Linked DNA regions of Drosophila melanogaster. The protein of the gene in region 2 interacts with the protein of the main gene of each other region in a pairwise test. Each region holds a gene or a part of one and is shown on either strand. Other genes may lie near its edges.

The links.
Region 1: the proteins of Sgt1 (region 2) and Rcd-1r interact in a two-hybrid assay, tested with the Drosophila melanogaster proteins (one large-scale study listed by BioGRID).

Annotation. Positions count from the first base shown.
Region 1 is NT_033779.5:9,012,232-9,015,811, forward strand, and holds Rcd-1r (Rcd-1 related), read right to left. Parts: upstream 1,838-3,580; 5' UTR 1,692-1,837; coding exon 819-1,691; 3' UTR 654-818; downstream 1-653. Other genes in the region: CG13102 (uncharacterized protein), read left to right, coding at 33-90, 154-330, 395-612.
Region 2 is NT_033777.3:8,303,589-8,307,457, forward strand, and holds Sgt1 (suppressor-of-G2-allele-of-skp1), read right to left. Parts: upstream 1,687-3,869; 5' UTR 1,535-1,686; coding exon 998-1,534; 3' UTR 602-997; downstream 1-601. Other genes in the region: nac (neuronally altered carbohydrate), read right to left, coding at 1-200, 261-337.

The DNA.
Region 1 (3,580 bases), on a different chromosome or scaffold from region 2:
GTTAAGTGTGAAGTAAAAATATTTAAACCAAAATGTATATGAAAGCTTTAATAGTCAGCATACTTGTGGCCTTTGTGTGTGTGCAAATTGGTGAGTCAATTGCGTAAAATGTGAAATTCGAGATCAACTGATTGTTTTTAACATGGATTATAGCTGATTCCCTGAAGTGTTACACCTGCGTAACGCCAAAGGACTGCAAGAGTCCCAAGAAAGTCACCTGCACGAATGCGGCTGCGAATGAGACTAGTTACTACCTGGGTGTCTATCATCAGAATGTTGGCAACCTAACCAGCACGCGATTCGATTGCCTGGCTCTGAAGTACAACTGGAGTGAGTAGCGTGGGGACCCCAGAAGCGGACTATAAAGATTTATTAACTACTTTCCACTTGCCAGATAACGATGTGATCCATCAGCTCCATGGCTGTGTGCATCCAAATGTTGGAGCCTGCAGCTTAGCACTTAAGCCGGCCTATGCTCACTACAATAAGACCTGGTGTCTCACCTGTTCGGGCGACAAGTGCAACAAGAATCCGGCCGGAAAGATGAGCAGCAGCACTATTGCCATCGCGTCTAGCGTTCTGGGTCTCTTGCTGGTCAAGATGTATGCCTAGTGTGACTATTAATAAATATGAGCTAGGAGCTATGATATTTTATATTTGATATTTTTTATTGTACCGTCAATTTTAGTAATATCATAATTTCATTTGTAGATTATGTAGGCCATGTTTATTCGGTCGAGCAGTTAACTAGGAGTGGGTATCACTAATCGATGGCGCTTGAATGGACGGTGGAGTGACGAAAGTTGTTGGGCGCTTCTCTAGGAGGAGCCCATTGGGTTGACGGCGTTTGTCTGCAGGTTCTTGAGCAGCATCTGCAGCCACTGCTTGGTGCACGTGTCATGTTGCACGAGCGACGTGAAGGTGCCGTCACGCAGCAGATCCGGCAGACACACTCTAAGTGCACTGCGAGCGCGCGCATTTTCCGTAAGTAGTAGATAGCAGCGCACCACATGCTTCAGCACCCGGAGGCATGGAAACTTCAACATATGGATGACCATTTTGCCCAGGGTGATGGCCACCTGCGAGAAGCGATCGTGGTTCTCGCAAATGTACGTCAGACCCATCTCATCGAGCAGTATCTTCTCAAGGATTGAAGTGGCCGCGATCTTGGTCAGCTTCGATCCCCTGACCATATTGGTCAGACAGTGAGGCACGACCTCGCTCCATATCAGGAAGATGAGGACCTCCGTATCACCGGTCTCGGCCAGAGCATTAATCACGCCCAGCGTGGTCAGGCGCAGCTGCTCGAAGGGCCTGCTCTTGAACGTGGTCGACAAGAAGGGGTACAAGTACATCGGTATCTGGTCCCGCAGGAAGGCCGGGCGAGTCTCCGGATGCGAGGCGACGCACTGTAGCAAAGTCAGGGCGTAGCACACGCGGTTCGACTGGTTGGCCTTCAAAACGGGCGTCGTTATTATGGGGTATATGTTGACGATCTCCTGCAGCAGGGTGCAGGTGGTACCGACGCTTTTCCACAGCATGGGGGCCAGGTCCGCATAGGTGTTCTTGCTCAGCTCCAGCAGAGCGGTCTCCCGCGTGGCAGGATAGGCCAGCTCGATGATCAACTGGTACACCTTCTCCCGCTCGGCCTGCTGCTGGGGACTCATTACCGGACTTGGTTCCGCACTCATCGCAAAGCTGGTTTTTTTTCGCGTTAGCTTGCAAAGATCTAGTAGCTTGGAAAGATCTGGCTCCGGAATTTCGACGGACGATTGAGAAACGTGGTTTCGAGTTGGCGTCTATTGTGGTTATCGATATAAGCTTCAAGCGAGAAAGGACCGAAAGCACGTGGCCGAACAATGTGGCCAGAGCCGAGGAACGCACGAATGCCATAAATTAATAAATAATTTCTTGTTCGAATGTCTCCCAGAATTTTGTTTCTTATCACCATTGATTTGATTGGCAGCTTGGAATTCGTCTGGAAATTCACGTTTTCTCTATATTTTACAAGTATTAATCGGTAGATGATTAAAATTTATGATTCTATTAAGTATGTCATAGCATAGCTTAGCTCTCTGAAATGGCCAGACTAATTGCGCATCTGATGGAGGTCCGATTTATGGCTTAATGACCATTAAGTACTTTTGGACACCAGTTTTAGAATTAATGAATTCGTATTGACAAATACTATAAATCAAAAATCATTCTAGCACACACAAATATTTGCCTTTAAAATTTTCAAATATTTTATCTCGCATTTAACCCATTAAACAGATGGATGCTTGGAATAGTTGTCCATTTCTGGAATTACTTGCCAATACAGAAATGGTTAACAGAAAATGTATTCTTTGCCACATCGTGCAACATTTCAATTTTGTTTGTTGCAGAGAGCTTTAAAAATTTCAGTCCGTCACATAAATTGGCCAACTATCCCAGAGAAAATCGGAGATTCGAACGAGCCGAGAAACAAGAATAAATCTTTAATAGTGTTGCCGTCTGCCTAAAAGTCAATCTCACTTTTGCATGCCGAACATTATCCGGTGGGTCATGTTATGGTTATCGTGGCTCGGTTTGTTTGGAGCTGCATTCAGGCATTTAATTGATTGATTGTTGCTCGTCTATGTCTGCATCGATTTGGCCGTGTTCACGCCCCTTTCACCCTTTCACCGAGCCGCCTCCAAAATCCCGTTACAGCGTCCCCTTTTTCGGATGTTTCATAACCAAAGCGGAAGGGATCCATGCCGCCCATCATATCGTGCACGGTTATCAAATCGACTTCCAGGCTATATCCTCGCATACATGCATATGTGGTCCACGTTGTTCCTGCTGCCAATTAGTGTTGGTGCGTCATCTGTGTGGCTGTGTGAGTGTTCATGTATGTATGCGTGTGTGCACGTCATCAATTAATTTTTGTATTGTTACTTTTTTTTTTTTTGACTGGTTTTTTGCAGCCCTCGGTGGGTTACGTGGGGAATACCCCTGTTGACTGATTGGTTTCTTTTCGATTCAATTGTTTCATGTGTGCCTCGGAATGGGAATGGATGTGTTTGCTAAACAAAGTTATGACTATGGTCACGGCTATAGCAGCTGGCTCAGGACTAGCTATACAATACTATAGTTTTACTATAGGCAAGCTTAAGAAGTTATTGTTCCCTCGAGATATGCGAATCAAAACGAGTGTCACTAAGAAATTATAGTTGTTAACAATGGAAAGTCAACACTTATGATACAATTCTTATCTGTCTTGCCTTAACCAATAACTGTAACAGTCTTAAATACTTGAATACAAACTACTGCTTACATTTGAGACCTACCCAGATTCAAAAATCAAACATCCGCACCACCAGGAATATTCTTACTTTCCCCTTATCTGTGCTCCAAATCCACCCTCGATATCCGAAACTTGTTGGGAACTCCCGGAAACTAAATTAAGTTTAGCTTCAACTACAATATGTACATTTGATTTATGCATTGAGAGACCATGGAGCAACCTGCCCGAGACCCCAGAAAATTTCCTCCTGCGAAAACGAAGACGGGAACCCTCTGATAACTAAGCCAAACCTATTCAACTTTCACGTTC
Region 2 (3,869 bases):
GGAAGGTGTCGATGTCCAGTGGATTTCCCTCGGGAAACGTAAATACCGAGGGGTACTTCCTGCTCAGCCGACTTGCCACAAAACATATCACTGTGGAAACCACGCATTGGAACCAGGACATAAAGAGCGGAGCTCCCAGGTTTACTGTATCGCTGCTCAGCAGGTGCTTATTTACGAATACCGTCAATATCGAGGTGCACCTGTGGAAGAAATGGAACTGCAGGCGGCGCACAGATGGAGGGTTCGCACGCATTACTCACCAGTAGAGCGACACGACGAAGAATATCTTTAGGTATTTGTTAACCAGCCGGTTGTGCTCCTCCAGATTCTTGTACATTTCGGAGTTTTTAGGAATTGCAGAGCAATTTGTGCGAGCCAAAAGTAATTGTGCGTTTATTTTTACACGTATCTGCTACCCGGTCTGCCGATCAGCTGTTTTCGCTGAGAACGTTTCGGTTGAGTGCGGGGGTGGATTCAGCAGTTGTTCGTTGTGAGATAAAATGAATAATGAAATAAAAACAATCAGCACAAGAGTTCAACGACAGTTTCTTGCTCACCTTTATTGTGCGTTTTCAAAATGCTCTAATTGAAAAAAGTTGTTGAAAACTGTTGATTTAAATTTATTCGTTACAAATTAAATACATACATTATCCAAATCTTATTCTGTCGAGTGTTTTAACCAAACTTGTTACAGAAATAAAGTGCTATGATATAACAAAATATTAATTAAAATACATTTATGTTGTGAGGTGCTCGAAAGAGTGTTTATGTGGTGGATTCATTAATTTATTTTACAGCCTAGTTCTTTTCTAGGAAATATAAACATTTTTGTGTTTCTGAAGTTCCTTTAATGCGTTTATTGCCACTGTTTTCCTTATGATACTCCTCTGTACTTGCTAATTCAAGTCGACAATCCCCAAAATGTACACGTTATAGTAATTATTCTCTGTTAATCTCTCTCGCTGACTCTATAAATAAAGGAGTATGGCCATTTCGCCTACTTCTCCCACTCGCGGAACTCGGTTCCATTTGGAGGCTTCACGGTGACTCTTTCTTTGCCCACCTCATTCCAGTTGGTGCTGAGCACGGTGCCTCCGGACTCCGAGAAGGACTTGTTCATGGCCTTTTGGACCTCGGGCGAGGATGAGCTGTAGATTTTCTTGAACAGGTTGGTGAGGGCCGCCTCGCCCTTGGCCTCCTTCTCGTCGATCTTTTCCTCCTCGCTGACCAGCTGGTCCCAGTTCTTGGCCTTGGGTTTCACCGGTGCAGCCACGATGGCCTCCTCCAGATTCTCCCACCGAATTCCCGTCTCCTTAGCCAGTGTGATTTCCACTTTGGTCGAAAAGGCCTTGTAGGAGGAACGCTCCACAACAATGGGATGAAGCAGCTTCAGGTCCAACTCGTAGCCATCCGCCGTCATGTGGACTCGCTTCTGGGTAATCTCCACAGCATAGTTCTTATCGACGGCGTTCTTCAGGAGCACGGTGATGACCACCTTGGTCTCCGACTGGTACCAGTCGTGGCGCACGGACATCTTGCTGCTTCAGCTGGTACTGGAAATTGGGAATTGTTGAGGATTCCCCTATAATTGCTTTCGCCCACTAAACGGGGTTAATTTTATTATTATCTGGAATTATCTAGAATTCAATACAAATGAATGTGACTAAAGGCAGTGCTACCAGATATAAAATGATTATCGACAATCGATTTTTTGTAGCTTAAGTGGCAGCGCCTATTAAGTTTCAACATTCAAACGTCGATATCGATAAGTATCGACGAACCGGTTCAGAAATCAGGGCTGTGAGCGTGGAATAAGGTGTAGCAACGACTCTAACCTTAATGGAACTGTTGGTGCGGCAAGTAATTTCCAGCACTGCAAAAACTTAAATTAAGGCGCCAATTTCCCTTTTACAAATTTGATTTTTTTGTTTGAACTTTTCATCACGATTGAAATAATTTCAACAGACTAGAAAGTTGTCAAAGACAAAAAAAAGGTTACAAGTTCTTTTTTGCAAGGATACAAATCCACGGGAAATTATTTGAAATCTGCTCACACCAACTGCTCACTTCAACTGCAGCCAACTGAAAACAAAGTTCTAGCCAATTTACGGGCACTTTAATTTCGGTACTTCGCTTTGGGGAAAAAACAGCAGTCGAAAGCGCATAAGTCCCGACGACAGCAAACATAAATTCCAGTCGTCTGGATCCACCCCCCTAAAGAAATCCGCATAGTCAAAGTTTGTCCAAAGTGACAGCAGAATTGAAAAGTGTGCGAGGGGCTGGGCAAGTGGCCCAGAAACTATTTACTGCTCTAAGTTTTATGACTTGCACTCGACTTTTTTTGTATGCTTGCCTTTCCGATCAATTGACAATTATCTTGTGAGAATTGAAGAACAGCTGCTAAAATTCGGAAGACACGCCACTTTTGCATTTAAGTGTGGCAAACAAATTTATTCACAACATAATTTTTTCTCTTAACTTATAACTTTACTCTAACATTATAACTTCGCATATTTGCATCTATAAATAAAATAATAAATAAAACTAAAATATGAAATATGGAATATACAGTTACATTTACATTTCACGCGTGTTTTATGTGCAATTCCTGTACAGATTTGAGAAAATGTCGAGAATAACATTTTATTGCATTCATTACATTTCATTAACATTTGCATGCGAAGGGGAAAATTTAACAGAAGCGTTCTATTCCATATTATTATAGAAATGTTATATTTATCGCATGCGAGAAACCGAGCTATGTAAACTAACAGTCTGCATTCGCGCTTAACAGCTGTGCTGAATAGAGAGGGGTAAGCTGGCTGTTAAAATTTGACACGTGTACACGGTGTACATAAAACGACGTAAAAATAAAGTAGAAATGCTGTTTCGCTCTGATGAGAAAACCAATTGGAAAATATCTAGCCAAGTCAAATTGGAATTTAGTAACTAAAGATTATAAAGATTTATATGTACAGTAAATATAGGCAACGAAAGCAAATGAAAACTATGGCTATTTAAAGTACTCATCACTTGGCCAAAAACACTCTTTCACTGCTTCCACTTACGACAATTAACTGTAAATTATATTTTCCATCAAACGCAATCCGCTCCCCTCCCCCCGGCCAACGAACGCAAGCTGGCATCTCGAAACCGAAATTTATCGAAAACTTTTAGTAAAGCAAATATTGACGTGGTTTCGAGTGGTTGGATGGCTGCGCGGGTGGAGGGGATTGGAGTGCGCTGCACTTGGCGGGAAATGCACTTGGACGGCATACAAATGGCGATGCTGCGATGCGAGTGATGATACAAACGACGTGTTAGCTTGCTTGTTTGTTTGTCACTTGCGCCGCGTGCAGAAAGTAAGAGCCCACCCACTCCCACTCGCGCCAGCTCCACAAAACTTGACCTTATGGCTCTCCAGTTTAGCTGCCTAATATGGTCGTAGCGACCATGCACGCCAGCCAACATCTTTCCGGGATTGAGCCCTCGAAAAGCTGACACTGATTAATAGCTTAAGAAGCAGGAAGCCATTGCCGTAAAGCTAGCTACATGCATTGGGTCAGCATTCGCATCCGCCAGCGTCGTTATTTGCATGATAAAAGCAAAGTGCTTGCAACGTTCAGCTGCGCCGATTGAGCAGCTCCTGGAGCAGCAGGGCGCATCAGCTGGGTCCGGCAAAGCCATAAAAGCGAGCCAGAGATGATAAAACCGAAATGGCTGCCACGAACACGTCCGCCGGCGAAGCCCTGCAATTGATAACCTAGAATGCTCGCTCGGCTAGCAACGTGACCCAGTTAACACGAAAGTGCATCATCGACGGTCAGGTACGTCGATAAAGTCACACTCGAAAAGGTAATTGGAAAGCA